2 linked regions of the Drosophila melanogaster genome follow. The protein of the gene in region 2 interacts with the protein of the main gene of each other region in a pairwise test. Each region holds a gene or a part of one and is shown on either strand. Other genes may lie near its edges.

Region 1 (8,148 bases), on a different chromosome or scaffold from region 2:
GCAGTGGTGGACTCCGCCTGCCTCATCTGGAAGTCGGTGTGCGGCAAGCACGGCGCCTGTTCACTCTACGATGCGGACACTTTCCGGCAATATTTCCTAGGTGAGTCAGAATCTATAGGAAAATATAAAAAAAATATCTAAATTACTAATCTCTGAGTGATTATGTACCTTACTATGCAAGATAATAGTCCCTTAATTTATAAACAGAAATACTTAGTAAGCTATCTGTAATTCCCAGGAATCACGGCTGGCATTATGTTCCTGGCATTCCTGATGGATCTGGTGGTGTGGCGCAAGGCGCATCGCATTGACATCGCGCCCGAGGATCCGCAGGAGGGCGGGCCCGCTTCCAACGGAAGGACCTTGGAGGTGTCCGAGTCCAAGCAGCCCATCACCCCGGCGCCGGACACGACGGTCTAGGAGGAGCGGGTCGGCGACGAGCCTTGCACAAGCTGCAGGATTTCCAATAAACGTTTACCTTAATTGTTAATTAGTTATCATTTGTCTAGTTTGTTAGCCTAGTGCAAGAGTTATGTATTTAGTTAAGTGGCATCTTCGAGCGTCGGGAGACCTCATTCAAATCCACATTAGAACGCGCTCGTCCAGCTCCCGCTCCCGATCCTGCTCCAAATCCCAGCACCATATTCTACATGAAGCCCATGGATTGCGATTTGAATCCTTGTAAATCTCAACGCGAAACAATGAAATGAAATTCTAGACATTATCTAACGTCATGCATGAGCGTAGTTAATCGACGAGCTAATACTACAAACTGATCGACAATTGTGCAAAGTGCAAGAAAATTTATGAATCCTTATGTGTAAACTATATGTAACAGTTATATCGCGATGTATGTAATCTATAATTAATATATTAGACATACACTTACATGTATGTATGTAATTGCAACCTATCTGTGGTAGTTAAATTTTAGTTAAAATTCAAATTAATTGTCTAAGTTTGTCATACAACAAATATATACGAAAAGAAATTAAATGGAAAACTATATACAAGTAATAAAAACAGATGTTTAAATATGAGGATGGGCTGCTCAAGGATAATTAAAAAATGAAGAGGAAAAGTTGCTAGTTATCCTTACTTATAAATTAGAAACAAGTTGTAGGCTGATTAGTTGTTGGGCCAGTAAATCCTTTCCCAATTTTAAACCCGTTTAAAATTCAATTCTCTACCAAAAATGTATTTTTTATTAACAATTTCAATAAAAAAGTCTTAAATTTACGAAATGCAACATCGCTGCATCTGCCTTTCGCCTAACAAAAACAACAAATTGTGTTATACAAAACGAAAACTTGAAATGTTTTGGGCTATTGTCTCTGAAATAACAAAAACAGTTGATGAGTAAGTCGTGCCCAGCGGGCAGATCGCAAGTGGAGATTGTCTGCGTACGCCCACAGGTGAGTACAATAAAGTAATGGTATCAAAATCAGCTATCCGGCGACCACAGCTTAAATGTGCGGTCAAATGAGGTCGTGGCTATATACTGCGAGTTGGGCGCGATGTCCACCGATATGACCTTGTTGTCGTGGCCCTGCAGCGTCTTCAACGGCTGCCACGTCTTGTTGGACCAGATCTTGGTGGTCGAGTCGTAGGAGCAGGTGACCAGGAAGCTGCCGCACTCCTGCTGGTACTTCACGTCCGAAATCAGATTGGTGTGCGCAGGAATGGTATAGACCGGCTGGCGTCGCCTCAGGTCCCAGATTTTACATGTGTTGTCCTGGGACCCTGTTGCTATGTGGAATCCGTTTGGAGAAAAGTCCACGCCGAAAACGGCGCCCAAGTGTCCCTCCAGAAACATGATGCACCGCCCAGTGCGCAGATCCCACACTCGTCCAAAGGCATCCAGACCGCCGGTGACCAGGACACTGCCGTCGGAATGATAGCTAAGGCAGTGAACCGGCTTTGCGTGCCCTTCCTGGTGAAGCACCTCTGTCTTTTGCTCCAGATCCCACAGCCGCCAGCTAGAGTCGTAGCAGGCGGTGGCCAAGAAGCGGCCGGAAGGATGGAAGGCTACCTTAGAGACGCGATGCGGCATGTGGCCGGTGATGTCGGCAATCGACTCTTCGTTGTTGAAGCCCCACAGCTTGACGGCGCCATCGTGGCCACCGGAAGCCATGGCCACCACGTTCTCCTCGTCTGCCTTAACTCCCGGCCGCAGAGCCACTCCGCCCACATAGCTGGCATGTCCACGCAGCGTCTGCTTCAGCTCGCAATCGGGCACGCTCCACAGCTTGCAGAGACCCGACCATGAGGAGGTCAGAAGGAGTGAGGAGTCTTCACTGAAGGCAGCACTACTCACGGGCCGTGTGTCACCCACCTGGGAGCACAGTGGAGCCAGCGACTGGAGCTTCTTCTGCATCTCCACCATTCGGCCGGCACGTGCTGCGCTGGGCACTTCAAGGGCCTCACGTGCTCGTACCAAGCGATCCTTGGCGCGCGGCAGGGAATAATCCGCCAGCCAGAGTCGAGCGATACGCAAACTATCGGGTCCCTCGTGGTACCAGGTGGCCTGATCCTGCTCCCGCTGTTGCTGCTTGCGCTCCTCATCCTCATACTGCCTCTTGTTGATGGCGTTCTCGCCCAATCCAGCCAAGAGTTCCTTAAGACGTCTTCTTCGCTCCGCCGGTCCTTCTCCAAAATAGCAAATGGGTTCGTTTAGCTGGCGCAGATTGCTCTTGATCTCCGTGTCGTCTGTGGACACATTTATCTGTCGTGCTCGCTTTTTCCGCTCAAATTCCTCAAGGAGCGCCACCTTGTCGCGCTCCATTTCCATCTCTAGATCGAAGTAGTCATCGTCAATTTTGTTGGCCAGAGTAGCGGCTGTGGGTGGTGGTGCTCCGGCCTGCTTGGCGTTGCTTGTCTTTTTCGTGGACTCCTCGTAATCCTCATCGGAATCGATGTCTTCCAGTTGCCCGCCTGTTCCAGTTGTTGTTGTTCCTGCCCCAGACGATGCCGTCGTTCCCGATGTTGTTGTTGCTGCTGCCCCAGACGCCGCGGCATTTTGCCGCTTGCGTTCCGATTCCTCGAGCGATCCATAGTGCAGCGTTCGCTGCCGCTTAATGTACTGTATATCGTCGTCATCGGACATCGTTGCGGCCAGCAAACAAGTGCAAAATAATTAATTTTAAAATAAAATTTCGCCGAAACAACGAAGAAACAACAAAAAATATTGCCGTAAAGAAAACGTTTTGCTGCCTAGTGTTGAGCAACGCCGAGAGGGGTGGTTTAGTGATGCCATCACCGATGTTTAGAGCGGTATGCAGCGAATAAGCAATAGTTTTTAGATCGATATTGTTTGTTGTTTATTGTTAAATGAACGGTTTTTGAAACTCTAAATTATATTTAAAACAATAACTATTTAAAACTGAAACTTTATTCCACGTGTTTAATAAAATTTTATATTAAGATCGCGATATACCGTTATTAGAGAGAACTACATTTGTTCTTGGAAATTAAATGATGTGCCTTTGTTTTTTATTTAATCATTTAATCAACAATAATCTATATACTTGGATCTGAACAAAAGCCGTTACTCCCAGAAACCGTGACTTTTCACCGATATATCGCCTACTCGTGCTTCACAGCACTGTTTTTCAGCACTACCCCATTTTAGAACATCCTCACGCACGCACGCACAGAATTTTCTTAGGTGATTAAAAGTGAGTGAAAATTGAGAATTTCCACACGCGTCGCACGCTATTGGTCACAAAGCCAGTGAGATAGCTGTCACTGCCACCGCTGCAGCATTTTTCACGCGCTCCTGGCCAGAAGGATATGAGCGCGCCGAGCAACAAAATGTCGGCCACCGATCAGATGCGAGCAATGCTGGACCAGCTTATGGGTACCACACGGAATGGCGACGAGCGCCAACTGAAATTCTCGGACCCCAGGGTCTGCAAGTCCTTTCTGCTCGACTGCTGTCCGCACGACATCCTGGCGTCCACGCGCATGGATCTCGGTGAGTGTCCCAAAGTGCATGACCTGGCTTTCCGCGCAGATTACGAAAGTGCCGCCAAGACGCGCGACTACTACTACGACATTGAGGCCATGGAACACCTGCAGGCCTTTATTGCCGACTGCGATCGACGCACCGACTCCGCCAAGCAAAGGTTGAAAGAGACCCAGGAAGAGCTGACCGCCGAGGTGGCTGAGAAGGCCAATGCTGTCCATGGCCTCGCCGAGGAGATTGGCAAGAAGTTGGCCAAGGCCGAGGCCCTGGGCGAGGCCGGCGAAGTGGAGGACAGCATGGAGCTGATGAAGGAGATCGAGGAGCTGCGTGCTAAGAAGATCAAGGCCGAGCACGAGTACCGCACATCTATGCCCGCATCCACCTACCAGCAGCAAAAGTTGCGCGTCTGCGAGGTATGCTCCGCCTACCTCGGGATTCACGACAATGACATACGTCTGGCGGACCACTTTGGTGGTAAGTTACATCTCGGATTCCTCACTATCAGAGAAAAGCTGATCGAACTGGAGAAGACGGCGGCGCCGCGGAAGGCGGAGCTCAAGCGGACGGGTAAGATGACGGACCGCGAGGACGAGGGACGCGGACGCAATCGCTACTTTGTAGGTGGTCGTGAACTGGACCGCCGCTCTCGCGTACATCGTTCCCGCTCCAGAGAACGACAGCGCAACCGGGATGGGGACCGCGAACGCCCCAACAACGGACGCGGTCCTGAGGAGAAGGGGAGTGAGCGACCCAAGGAAGCGGCAGATGGTCCGGAGCGAGCCGAAAGGGCACCAGATCGTGGAGGACGGCGAGATGACAGGGACAACCACGGCAGGGATCATCGCGAACGGGAACGCGATGGCAGGCGGGATCGGGACCGACATGGACGCAACGACAGAGGACGCTTTGGTGACAGAGGCGGCGGTGGAGGAGGCGGTGGCCATCACCGTGACGACAGACGCCGCTCAAGGTCCAGGGAACGCTCGCCACGCGAACGGCGGAACTTTAACCACTTCAGGGATGGTGGTGGCGGCGGAAATGGCCAGCGCAAACGATCCTACTCCCGTGAGCGCAACTACCGCCGCTAGGCTAGAATCCCGCCCAGCGCACGTACGTAGCATTAATCACATGAACTATAATGCCACCACAAATTGAACTACTGAAAACAACAGGAACCGAATATTCTTAGCGTAACCAATAAAGCAACCTAGAGCCACACTTTCGACGCTCCAATATGAAGATACAACTACCTTTGTACATTTTTAATAATTTAATTGATTTCTATTTTTGATCTTGCGTTCCAACCTCTAATGACAAATTTTTGTTACTACCCCAAAGTAAACCGAACGCAGTCCAAGACCCCAGCCTCAATAAAAACTTTAAGAGAAACGATATACTCGATATAATGCGATTGAAATTATATAGTCCCCGTCCAGTCCAGTGTACTTGGCACGTAGAGACAGAAACCCAAACAGAAAATAGAAATCCCAACGAATCGGCAGTGTTGTCAATTAAAGTTCAGTTCATTGTAATTCGGTTAGGACACAGCGGCAGTCAAGTTAAAGATAACTAATTTATAAGGATTCAGAGCAGGAGAAACGTTTAATATATGATATTTTGTGTGTTGTATAGCTAGCTACAAGTTGGTAACATTGACTGAAACCCAACCAAACCTGACCACATTCGACCATGTACTCTTCTCAGCTAACGATCACGTTCACCCAGTCGAAGTCAACGTGTGTTGTGCATCGCTGTCGTCCCGCTTTGGGGTAAGCCTCCACCATATTTAACTCTGACACACTCCATCACTGCTCTGATTTGATTTCATTTGATATGATATGATTTGATTTGATTTGTAACCCCAAAGCGTTCTCTACTTGAAGTTCCGTTCCACACTTTCGCAGCCGCTTAAACTCTCGCACAGCTTCGGTACGTATTGAGTATGGCGAGGTGACTATATACATTATACCAGACCAATGTTAGTTGTTTTGGCAGATATGCGTATTACATAGATAATCCAGATAATATAGCTTGGGTACGTATCCATACCGGCCGACGACGTTTCCTTTTGAATCGTCGAATGAGAGTGTCGTTTATTTATTCGGTTCTGGGTACGTATTAATGTTAGAAGATCACGACTGTGGTACGTATACATATAACGACTATAATGGTGCCCCATAAGCAAGCCAGGCTCTCTAGGGTTCTCGGCGATCCAGATCCCAACGTACGTATTTCTCCTCCTCCTTTCTCTCTCTCTTGAAAATAAATAATAAAAAATACAATCACCACAAACCAAAATAAATTTTAATCTCGTAGCTGTTTAGAGGCAATTGAATTAAAATCCGTTTCTTACTAAATCTCTGTTTATCTTGCCAAATGGTACTTGAACCACTGTAATGATGAACTCCAATTAAGAACACAAGTCCGTTTTAAGTTGAAGGCAGCCGTCGGGCTGACATATATTTATTCAATTTCTTCTTTTGATTTTAGAGTAGGCAGAAATGGTTCTGTCAGCTCAACGTCTACAGAGTCTCTCTGATTTTACAGTTTTTTATATATTTTGACTTAGGCTAATCCGCGTAGCTGCGCTGCCGGGTACGCCAGCAGCGGAGCGGCGTTCTTATGTATATCTTATATATCTAGGCTTATCGGGAGAGCGAGATATGTATGTACGTATGTAATATGTATTTGGTCGGCGTGTGAATGCTGACCATGCACTTATACTTTTTGCCTTCGAGTGGGTGATCATGTTACATCTGCCCTGGCCTAACTGCGTGCATAAACATAAACATAAACATAGCAACAAAGTGCTGCCATAAGTTAATATGCTATTTTATTTAATTGTTCTTAATATTGCATAGGCACATACTACATCTCCCTCCTTTTGAAAAATAACGTAACCTAGTGAAGTTATTTTGATTATTAAATGCAAATTATTTTATTTTTATTTTTATTTTGTTTGTGTTTTTGTTTGAACAACAATAGTTGATTTTATAATGCAAAGATAAAAATATACGTAGTGTATGGAAAATTTGTATAAATGATTAAGGAAAATATAAGTTTAAATTCAATCATGAATGAAATTTCTTTAATCTATCTTTATGAACTATTTGTTTTTTGTTTTTATTAGTAAGTAGCGTAATATTGTTATTATCTCCTATGCTTTCTATCTTATAGGGCCCCGTATATTTAAAGTCTAATTTATGACCTACCTCATTTCTTAGTAAAACTTTATCTCCTACTTCTAATTCTATGTCTTTTACTTTTAAGTCATAATTTTCTTTATTTTTTTCTTTGTGTGCTTCAAGAAGTTTTCTTGCTCGAGCATATGCTACCTCTAACCTATATTTACTCTCCTTAGCGTAATCATCTATGTTATATATTGGTTCTATGCTATGTAGTTTATTAAAATGTTTTGGTAAATTACTTGTTCTACCGAAAACTAATTCATATGGACAATAATTATGTACCATAGATTGGGTCGTGTTGAAGCAGTATACGAAATATTGAAGCCATACGTCCCAATCGGTTTTGTCCGTCGATATGTAGGATCGTATATACTCGTTTAAAGTTCTATGACTTCTTTCTACTACTCCAACTGTCTGGTGGTGATGAGCTGTTGATGTTATATTTTTTATTTTCAAATATTTACACAGGTCAGTAATTATTGAATTCTTATACTCTGTTCCCATGTCCGTTATGAACGTCTTCATTGGACCGTACTTTAGAATAAAAGATTCAAATATAGCTTTTGCGACTGTTTTTGCGCTTTTATTTGCTATTGGTATGGCAACTAAGTACTTGGTTAAATCACATATGAGAGTGACTGCGTACTCGTTACCATTTTCTGACTTGGGTAGTGGACCAATTGTGTCCACAACAACTCTATCGAAAGCATGTTCTGGTGTTTCAGTTATCGTCATTGGAGTCTTTGTGTGCTTTGTTGTTTTTGCTTTTTGGCATTTTTGACATTTTCTTACGTACTCTTTTATGTATTTACTCATATTTTTCCAGTAATAATGTCTTTTGACCTTGGCCAAGGTTTTTGTAATGCCTGTATGCCCTCCTTGTATTGGATCATCATGTAATGTAGACAATATAGCTTCTTTTTCTTTTTCATTATTTATTTGGGTCACCGGGTTAAGTAGCGCTACTTTTAAATTCTTTAATATTTTATTGCC
Region 2 (11,077 bases):
CATCGCAGAATTCATTCTGTATCAGCATATGATCGTCCTCCGCCCACGCGGAATAGTATCTAACCACGTTATCGTGCTTGCCCAATACAGCATGGGCCCAGACCTCGTTCAGGGCTCTCTTTCTGCAAGCAAATAGATTGTTAAACGACGCTCGTTGCAATAACTAATGAATACTCACTCGAAAGAACTGCCTGCCACCGGCTTCTTACTCTTTTTAATCGCATATATGCAGCCATCTAGTCGATTGACGCATTGGAACACCACACCGAACTCGCCAACGCCGATTACGTTGACTTGCATGAACTCCCGCTTGAAGCGACTGATGTTCGTGTCGTGCAGGGCCAGCCGCTTGGGTGCCTGCTGGTGGATTTCGCGCATCGAGTCGCCCGCCTCCTCCGTCACATCGTCGTCGCAGGCATCACTGAGCAAATACTTTTGCATAGCATTCACGTTCAGGTTGAGGTTTTCGCGTCCGAATTGCGTGCGACAGCGCTTCTTATTGTGAGCCATGAGGCCTAAAAATAAAAAAAATGATTATTAGATTGCTAATAAGACTAAGCTGGGATGGGTTAAAGTGGAGTGCAAATTAAAGCAACGAACTGGAAATTGATACCTTTATTTAATTAAAATATCAAAAGCGAGAAACGTTTTAAACTTACTATCTGGCGTGAAGGGGTTCACATTTGCCGTGTCCTGGGTGGGCAGTTTGCGGTTGTGCAGTGGCAGAGATCGCGGGCGCTCTGACAGGCGGAAGAGGTCGTCGCTGCGCCTGGAGGCATTCACTGCCGCTGCTGCCGCCGACAGATGGTTGCTGCACTGCGTCGTCGACTTCTGCAGGATGGTCTTTGGAGTGGCCGGTGTGCTAAAGAGTCGCAGGGCCCGCACCTTTTGGCATGGCGGCGACATGGACACGTCCCCGTCGCCGCCTTCTTTGCCTATCTTACTGTCCAGCTGCTGCTCCTCACCGGAGGATAGCTTCGGCCGCTGCTGAAGGGGATGCTGCGGACTCGCTCCCTCGGGCGTGTCCTTGTCAAAGTCATCATCGGCGAAGCGGAGCTTGCGCGGATTGAAGACCTGCGGCGATGGCGAACGCGATCTCAGTTCGACGCTTGAATCGAGTGAGGTGACGCTCATCTCGTGCTCCGACTGGCGGAATGCCATTGTTGCTGTAGCTGTCCAGCTGACCACGTTGAAAGACGATTCTGTTCGTTATTTCTGATTTCAGAACTATTTGTATGGAAGCCGGCGGCAGTAAAGTAAAGGCAATAGTTAAAAAAAATGCAAAACAAAACACAAAACAAAATTTAACTGGAGGAATGCTAGTCTAATAATGTGGCCGTACCCGATGCGCAATAAAATACCAGCTCTGACTGAAAAAATACTAAGTAACTGGAAGTGCAGAGTTACCAAACAAACAAAATACTAAACATCTGGCAAAAATACCAATTTAAATAATGCGCACCTACTTCTAAACTGAGTGACCAGACTTGTTCAAGACCGCATAAAGCCCGCCAAATTCAAATGGAAAACAACTAATTTTGGCATTTAATTTATTGATTGAATATCTGTATTTTAGTGTTCAGCGCATTTGCTACATAATTCAAACACACATCTCAAGAATCCATACATATGTATTTTTTTAATACTTAACTATGACATCAATGTATGAATAATTATTATGCACTGTTGCAATACTTAATTATTACGAATATAGAAACACATCATACAGAGATTGGAGTCAAATAATCAAGTTGTTGTGTTGCATAAATTGAAAATTGTGTAAAATTGACATGAAAATGGTGGCGATGCTTCGTCCTCTGCACATTCGAGTATAATTCCAGGGTAAGCAAAATAAAATCCAAGGCAAATCAATTTACATAGCAATCCTGACTAGATCGTTAATCTGCGGCTGCCGATACATTTCTATATCTTAAATTTCCTTCCGTCAAATGATTTTCCGAAGCGCTCTCCTTTGTTCTGCGTGTGCTTGTATTTGTTGTTGTGTTGGAACATTAGAATACCTAAATATGCAAACTCGAGTTCCACTATAAATTAAAACCCTTAACTAATATGGTTTTGGACAACTAAAAACCTTAGATGGATACTGCATGAAAAAGTATTTGGGAATCTGTCTTGTTACACGTGAGGTTGTTTCTTTTGGGAATGAGGATTAGAGTCCAGTGCGTGGAGAGCCCATCTCGCCGGATTCATCGGGGGGTTGCAGCTCCGGCCCTCATCATCGCATGTCGGGCTCCGTCTGCATCCGTTCGCTGTCGCTAGTCCCTTGAAACGGATCGTGAGGCGGACGAGTCACCACGACGCCTGGGCGGCGATCCACGGCGCACCGCTGGCGACGCCGATCGAGATCGGGAACGCGACCGCGGCGATCCCCTAACCCGGTCATCGTCCTCATCCTCATAGCGCCGTTTTGGCGGCGGCGGTGAATCTACCGCTCCACTGCCGTTGCGCTCGTGGTCGCTGTACCTCGACGCCGATCCGTTCTCGTCCCGTCCGTTCGAGCGGCCGGAGCGACGGCCCACCGAGCCGGCGGAGCGACTGCGGGATCGAGTTCCGGACTTGGAGCGAGTGCGCCTGCGTCGCGATGTGCTCCGAGATCTGCTGAATGAGTTGCTTCTGGAAATGAAATGGGATAAATCGTCGTGATTAGCTATCAGGCTTTTCAAAAAACGTAACAATTTAAGCTACCTTATATATGTATATACTAATATACTAATACATTTAAATATATTATAGTGTGCTATATTATTTGAAACATTGTAAGTATCAAAACTAGCTTTTAGCAGATTAAGTTTTAACAGCTTATTGAATAAAACACAAGACAGTATAATATTCTAGAACCTCTCCCAGTTTTAATTCTGCATTTCACATAAAGATCACATGTATAATATAGCTTGCTCAATGCTTGCCGCCCTTCTTTTTGTAGTGCTTGTGGCCGTGCTTCTTGGAGCCCTTCTCGCCGTGCTCCTTCTTCTCCTCGAAGCTGTCGCCGTACTTGTGCTCCTTCTTGTACTTCTTGTGGTCCTCGTCGTGGTGACCCTTCTTGTAGTGTCCGTGGTGCTTCTTGTGACCCTTCTTTTTGCCGCCCTCGTGCTTTTCGCCCTTCTTGTGCTCGCCGTGCTCCTCGGCATGATGATGGTGCTCCTTTCCATACTTCTTATGATGTCCGCCCTTGTGCTCATCATCGTAGAACTTCTTCTCCTTGATGTACTCGTCCTTTTTGAACTTCTTGTGGTATTCTAATTCCTTGTGACCCTTCTTGTGCTTCTTTTTGTGATGATGTTTGCCGCCCTTCTTGTGAGCGCCGTGTTCATGCTTCTCACCATGCTCATCCTTCTCATCGTAGTGTTTCTTCTTCTTCGATCCCTTGTCGCCGTGGTGGTGCTCGTGGTCTTCCACCTCGTGGTGCTTCTTCTCGTCCTCTTCCCATTCCTTGTGCTCCTTGTGTCCGTGCTCACCCTTGTGCTCCTCGTCACCGAACTTCTTCTTCTCGTACTTGTCGCCACCCTCCTCCTCCTCGGATGATGAGGCCTCCTTCTTCTTGGCTGCCGCGTAAGTCAGCAGGAGTCCCAGGACCAGCAGCAACTTAAAATGACCATGCATCTCGCATAGTTTTCTCGTTCAAATGGCACCAGTTGCAATCGCATTTATATACCACGCCGTTGACCACAAAATGGTCAAAATGACTGGGCCTGGCATCATGATGCAAGCAATTGGGGCTGACGTAAAAACTTTCTGCTCCATTGGTCCCTTTACCGCAGTCAAACGTACTTTTTACCTCGCAGCGAGTGACGGATTGGCCTCCAAAATTGGGAGCTGCTTTTGAAATATGTTGCTAAGCTTCGCAGACAAGAACTGAATGCCTAAGAGGTAGCTTAGTTCTTAAAATCAAAGGACATTAAACAATTGCAATTGCTTTCTTAAGAATTAAGTATATCAAAACCAATACGAATAACATATTAACATTTGTATTTTGTTATGCAAATATTACATTTTATTTCTAATGTACACCGGAAACTTTAATCGTTTTGGTAATTATAAAATCCTATACTTTACAGTAAGGTAACCTATGATGCTAAAACTTAAGGCCTACTAACTAGTCAAGGTGGGAAATTACTCCTGGTGCTTTGACTTTTTCTTTTTCTTTGCTGGTGTTGGCTGATCCTCGGGCTCTGGTGCTGCCGCCTCCTCAACGGCCTCCACCTCTTCGTCCTTCTGCTTCTTCTTCTTTTTCTTCTTCTTCTCGGACTTGACCTCCGCCTCCTCCTCAGCAGGTTCCTCCTTCTTAACAGGCGTCTGCTGTTCGGACTCGGAGTGCTTGCGCTTCTTCTTCACGTTCAAGGTGTTGTCGGCCTCTGGTTGGTAGGTGAACACCTCGCTAAAAAGTTAAGAAATAAATTAAATACACTGAACAATCGAGAGATAGCCTGATTGTAAACCCAATTTCGCTCAGACAGCCAAGGTTTATCGTCATCTTAATCGGATACATGCGAAACCTTTTGGGTATCATCACTGGAAATCTGTTTACTCTTATATAATTGACAGCTAAAACATACCTCTTGGCCTGGTACTTCTCGAACTTGGCCTTGGCCTTGCCGGTGCCGGAGAGTTTGCGCAGGTTGCCCTCCTCCAGGAGTCGCAGCCGAGACTCCAGTTTAACCTTGTGAGCCGCTCCTAGCTCAAAGGTAGCCTCTTCGCCAAAGGCATCAACACGCGTGGCAAGCGACGCTTTGGCGGCCAGTGAACGCGACATTTTGCCCTTGTTCTTCTGGCTTGCCTGTCCCACCAACTGGGCGTGATAGATCAAACCGTACTTTGGAGTATCCTTCTTGGTCTTCAGCGCACGGAAGAGTGCTTTCTCGGCGCCCAGAATTTGTACAGTAGATGAGGGATGCTTGGCCAGGTTAATCAGCGAGCCAGCATGGGCAATCAGTCGAGCGCCGACGGTGTCGCCCACGAGCACTGTCAAATTCGGAGCCATGGCCATCATTCTGGCCTTCAAGTAGTCGTACAAGTGGGTGCGGTAATCGTTGATCGATATGATCTCGTCGCACAGACACTGAATGTTCAGCACATCCTCCTCGGAGATTTCGGTACCCATAGAGATCTCAGCTGCCTCCTTGACCTTTTCCTCCACATCTTCTGGCAGAATGTCGGACAGATCGCTTGTGGCCATATTATCCCTGGTGCCCACCAACTTGATGGTCTTCACGAAGGCAATGTTGTCGGTAATAATCTTGCCCAGCTCGGGAAAGTGCCAACCGTACCACTCGCGTGCACGCATCATGTAGTTGTTCAACTCCTTGTCCAGGTCATCCAGCAAGCACTGGGCCTGCACAATCATTGTGTCGATCTTGTCGGGCGAGAACTTAAGCTTGTAGCGCGACAAGGAGTGGGCAAGACCCAGGGCCATGGCGGTCATCTCACGCTTGGGCAGACCACCAAGCAGACTGTCCGCCTGCTGGCGAATACAGCGCATCAGCTCCTGGACGCCAGTGTTGCAGACACACTGTACCGACAGTTTGTCCTTGATGGCTGTGCCCAGTTTGGCATCGGCAACCAAGAGCGAAGACTGCACGTCGTCAACGAGCAGCTTCTTGAGTGTCTTTTTCAGCGGCTTGGCTACCTTGCCCTCCACCGCCGCCGTTGCAGCGGCCAGCGCCTCTGTGGTGTCATTGAATTTCTCAAAGTGCTTCAGCTTCAGCAGCTTGTTGGCCTTCTCCGGAGTCTCAAACTCCTGGTACAGATTGTCCACCTGCTCCAGTTTCTTTTCGTCCAGCAGCTTGAAAATCGCGTAGCCCGCCGGCGTTTCGTAGAGCACAAACATCGCGTTACGCTCTGCTCATTTAGTTTCAATTTTAATTCAATTTAAAACCACCGAAACTCTCGGCAGCCAGCAGCAACTTAACCTTCTTTTCCGTATGCCGCGTGTAAAAGAAAAATCCAAAATGAAGTGCAAGCACGTGTGCCTTCGGTCTACGGCGTTGCCACTTGGTTCGCGCATAACAGCACCACTGTAATTAATTCACCACGAACGTAAAAGCGCGGGGAAAATAGCGTAGGAGGGTGTCTTGCAGCCGCCTGCTACCCTTTTGTTTACCACTTATTTTAATTTGTCTATTTCTAATCAAATCAATCAAACTTTAATATCAATATTAAATATATTAGAGGACTTCGCTAAATCATTGTCACGTAACTATTTGTAAGCTTTTGTGCAATTTACGGACAAATTCTTGTGCTCAAGAGTATAAAATATATATATTTTATATATTTATTAATCACGAAAGTGTTTACATTTTTACAATATATTAGACTTATAATAGTCTATATAATAGACTTAAAAACAAAATTCTGTTATTACTATCTGAATAGATAACTACTGTTGTCAAGCATGATTTTGTTAGACAATTGTAGAAGCTATATACTTCTCATATCGATATTAATGGGTATGCCACCCGAGCACGTGTGCGTGCTGTTATGGTACAGAACTACTTCATGCGCTGGGATTAACAGCACTCATTGCGCATAACAGCACGCTGTTAGTTTTAACAGGCGACAGAGGTGCCCAAACAAACTCAACATTTTTGCATGCGCATACACACAAGCATGCATGTATGTATGTATGCGTTTGTTTGTATGTATGCCTTTCTCTCGCCATGTTACAAAAAGCAAGAAGTTTTTGGCAACGACAATGAATGAAAAATTGAAATGGCGAATTGCAAATGCGAATTGCGCTTACCTGCGTCGCTGCCTGGCCTTCCTTTCGCGACAGTGGCGAGCGAAATGCCCCCGTCCGCCGCACTCGTAGCACTTATCGTCCCCACGACCACCGCCGCCTCGGTCGCGTCCTCCGAGTCCTCCACCACCACCGCCTCCACCACCTCCGCCACCACCACCGCCGGACCTAGCATACTTTCCGGTGGACAATTCCACACGGGCTCGGCGCCCGCAAACCGTCCGTCCGTCCAATCCGCGCACCGCATCCGCCGCATCGCGGGCACTCTCAAACTCCACGAAGGCGAAGCCCGGCGGATTGCGGGCTATCCAGACGCTGCGCAAACTGCCGTACGCTCCAAATACATACTCCAGGTCGTTCTTCCGGGCATTGTTGCCCAGATCGCCCACGTACACCTTTCTATCGCTCGGATGGCGCGACATTTCTGTTTATTTCGCTTTTCCCCGGGCCCAAATTAATGTGGCAGCAGCGCAGAAAAAAATCGATGATGGGTTGGAATCACTTGCCACCGCCTTCCTGGGCACTTTGGTCGGTCAATCGCGCACTGGCGAACACTTTTAGTCACTTAACACGGTCGGCAGATGCGAATTTTTGTGTTTATTTTCTATTTAATGCAGCGCAAAACTCATTTTACCGGGTAGCAAACAGAGTGACCGTGGACAGACCATTAAAAGAAACTGCGGACTCGCTAAAAATATACCAAAAGTTATGCTCAATCCGCGGGTAACGGTCAGCAAAAGGCGGGAGTGTCTGGCAACAATAACTTCCAGGGCCGAAAAATGAAAATCTAAATATTTCCTTTTCAACTCCTACGAAAAAAATACTCAAAATTATTTTTTCCTTTCAAAACATTCCATCCGCCTAAAGAAAGCGACTATAAAACCTTTTTTAGTATAGTACATACAAATCATATACACACATCTTATTACATTTTTCACCTTTAAGATATTATTGTACTGCACAATTACATTTTAATGTAAATAATTTATAATACATTTTTTTAACCAGTCCCCTTTAACTTCCTTTATATTTAGCCTTCGTGTTAAAAGATAGATATAAATTCGTAATTTAAATTTGTTTTCTAGTATCTGTTAGATTCAGAATATATGTGGAGTATGTTTTAGTATATTCCGTGCAACTTGAGGTATTTTTTTTGGCTGGCGGCGGTCACACAGCATTAAACGTGGCGGCGATTTATCATATAAGTTAGGTTATAATATCGTATGCATCAAAATCATACAATTATTTATAAGCTAGTTTTTTAAGGAAAAAACACTTAAATTTAGTGAATTTGCAGTGCGAAATCTTTAAAAAACCACAGACGAACACTTGGCACAAACGGTAAGAACGAAAAGCGACCGAAAATCGCATTTACATAACAATTACAGTGCTTTAACAAAATGCCTGCCTAGCCTTTCCTTTCCAAAAAAAACGCCTGAATACTTGACGCAGCTGCCATTGCTCGGTGTGCGCGTGTGTTTGTGTGTGGGGTAAAATTGGCTCGATTCGTTCGAATCGTTTCTTCGCCTTTTCGGATTTCTCGACAAACAGAGGTTTGTGCAATTTTCAGCGATTTTTCGTGCCACTTTCGGCACTCTATTTCCACCCATCAAAGTGGAAAATTTCATATTTTTATACATACATACGAAAAAATGCTATGTATAACACCACACCAACGATCACGCACACCATTGCACAGCGCTCGGCGGCCATTCGCGCACACACACGCTCTCACGCGCACACACGTACGGCCAACTCATGCACTCACACACGCCAGCAGATTGCGGTGCAAAATACAAAAATCGTGCGAAATTCGTAAAATTGCGTATTAGAAATCTTGGTTAATTTCGCTCCTATTTCTCCGGCCCGAAAGCCCAAGTGTCAAAAGTGTACCCGGCGTGAAAGTGCATTCGTGAATTAGTGAGTGCCCCATCGATTAAACCGCCTGGCTGGCCAAACAAAACGAAAAGCGTAAAAATACAGTGAAATGCGTTTGTTCCCTTTTCTAAGAACTGAGACCCAAGACATTTCTTGAGACTTCTTTGTTGTATCATTTTTCATAAGGCACGTCTTCCATTTTGTTTTTTTTTCTTCGTTGCCTTTGCCGTGGTGAATTTCCCACACACTGCCAGTGCGATTCATTCAGTTCAGTCGTGAGTACTCAGCCAGCAACAACAATAAAACATTAATCGTTTAAAGCTGGAGGAAAACTCGAAAAAGAATTGTTTGTTTTTTCTTTCGATGGAATTAACATTTATTTTGAGGGCATTGGTTTTTGGTACGTTTGCTTTTCGCTTTCCATTCGCGTTCACGTCACACATGGCGTTGCCACATGTTTTTTCACTTGTTAATGGGCAAAATGTCTGCGAAGTGCTGCCAGTAAAGAAAACGGGATTTTCTTGATAACAAAGTGAATTTAAACCCGTTGTTCATTGGCGTTTGCACAAAAATTTAAATATACTCCTGTAGATGTTTACTTGGCCCACATCTGGCTGTAATCTGTAATACCCTGGCAAATGGCGCGCAAATGTGGTGAACCGGCGACAGCTCTCTTTTCACCTTGGAAATACATAAGTTCGTTGTTCTCATTGATAGGCGGCATGTGTGCTGGTGTGTGAGTGAGGCTGGGGATTTGTTACAACAACAACAACAACAACCATTCCGCTCGTGACACAGCGAAAAGAAAACAATACTTTCACGTAGCCGTTCAAAAACGAGTGAAAGGGGATGAGAGTAGTGTTGGGGTGTCGAAGGAGGAGCAAACTTGTGAACGTGTACAAAAAGCAGTTAGACGACAAACACACATACACGTGTACGGCGGAATCTCTTCAGCTGCGTGTGTTTGTGTGTATGTGTACCGGCCGGTTGCTTCTGCCGCTTTTTTCTCTTTTTTTTTTTTGTTCCTACCTGTGCCTTTCATAATAACTATGCGTGAATTTTTTGTCATCTGACCATTTCTACCCATTCGCACCAAAGATCTTTACACAGCAAGAAATATTGTCTCCGAAGGAAATGTAAATTTAAAAAAATTTCAACCATAGCCCTGGCCTTTAATTTTAATAACGTCAGTTTGCAAATAACCAAATTAACTATTCCACCTTGTTTTTTCCTGTGTAGCAATTCGATTAACCGGATTTCTTATATTCTATGTGTATCTTTCCATGTGCCTGCAACAAAAACAAACCGACGACATCGATATTGTTACGATAGAAAGTTACGTGTGAACGTCGTGGCTTTTGTTTAATTGTTTTGAAGGAAAAAAGAACTTTGGCAACGTTGAAACCAACCTAAGATATTGCCCAAAAAGTAAGATATTGCCCAAAAGTAATTGCGGATTTTTCATATAGTCGGCGTTGACAAATTTTTTCAACGGCTTGTAACTCTGTAATTGCATTCTTTCTTTGGTCAGTTATCAGCTGTTACTTTTAGCTTCCATTAGAAAAAAAAGTGCGCGAAATTTTGTTTTTATTTGTTTGTTTGGCGTCAATTTTAATATGGAGCCCACAAAGGAGCATTTTCGTCATATCTTACTTTATTATTTCCGTAAAGGAAAAAACGCGGAGAAGGTTGCTAGAAAGTTACGAGAGATACGATGGTATGGTGATGAAGCCTTAAAAGGAAGACAGTGTCAAAATTGGTTTCGCAAATTCCGTTCTGGAGATTTTTCACTTAGAGATGAGCCACGTTCAGGCCAAATGAAGTTGATGATGACCAAATCAAAGCATTATTATTTATCGAATTAGATCGTCATGTAACTTGAGCGTGAGATAGGAGAGAAGTTAAATATACCAAAAATCAACCGTTCATTATAAAAAGTCTTGGACTGGTGAAAAAGCTTGATATTTGGGTACCACATGTATTGAAAGAAATTCATTTAACACACCGAATCAACGCTTGTGATAAGCACCTTAAACGCAATGAATTCGATCCGTTTCACTTCAATGGCTGATATCCACCAAAAGAAGGTTATGCTGTCTGTTTGGTGGTATTGGAAGGGTGTCGTATATTTTTAGCTGCTTCCAAGGAACCAAACGATTAATTCGGATGTTCGCCAGAAAGATGGCAAAAGATTATCGAACAATATATTTGATTAAAGTTCATTCGAAGTTTTATTAAAAATGCATTTACTTTCATTTACAAAATCCGCAATTACTTTTTGGACAACCCATACATAAAATACATACAAACATAAATACATAAAAAAAAACACAAAAAAAAAATACCAGCAGCAGTGTAAAAATTGTATATTCTCCCCCAAAACAGGCAACCAACCGAACACAAGTTAATTTCTTTGCACCCCGTGTTAATAAAAAAGCGGCAAGA

Evidence for each region. The genes of interacting proteins can lie anywhere in the genome.
Region 1: the proteins of x16 (region 2) and CG7564 interact in a two-hybrid assay, tested with the Drosophila melanogaster proteins (one study listed by BioGRID).

What each region holds. Positions count from the first base shown.
Region 1 is NT_037436.4:17,510,676-17,518,823, forward strand, and holds the start of CG7564 (uncharacterized protein), read left to right. Parts: upstream 1-3,622; 5' UTR 3,623-3,792; coding exon 3,793-5,055; 3' UTR 5,056-8,148. Other genes in the region: Oatp74D (organic anion transporting polypeptide 74D), read left to right, coding at 1-100, 239-420; U4-U6-60K (U4-U6 small nuclear riboprotein factor 60K), read right to left, coding at 1,445-3,106. UniProt on the Drosophila melanogaster protein: May bind to RNA via its Arg/Ser-rich domain.
Region 2 is NT_033779.5:6,912,767-6,923,843, forward strand, and holds x16 (x16 splicing factor), read right to left. Parts: upstream 7,445-11,077; 5' UTR 7,177-7,444; coding exon 6,758-7,176; intron 5,978-6,757; exon of another isoform or gene 5,846-5,977; coding exon of another isoform or gene 4,575-5,845; intron 4,545-4,574; exon of another isoform or gene 4,444-4,544; intron 4,397-4,443; coding exon of another isoform or gene 4,132-4,396; exon of another isoform or gene 3,987-4,131; intron 3,680-3,986; exon of another isoform or gene 3,622-3,679; coding exon of another isoform or gene 2,917-3,621; exon of another isoform or gene 2,815-2,916; intron 2,635-2,814; coding exon 2,277-2,634; 3' UTR 1,615-2,276; downstream 1-1,614. Other genes in the region: Wee1 kinase, read right to left, coding at 1-122, 179-515, 660-1,161; CG32829 (uncharacterized protein), read right to left, coding at 2,917-3,621; nop5, read right to left, coding at 4,132-4,396, 4,575-5,845. UniProt on the Drosophila melanogaster protein: Serine/arginine-rich splicing factor (SR protein) involved in differential exon usage during RNA transcript processing, probably by binding exonic splicing enhancer elements and recruiting components of the splicing machinery.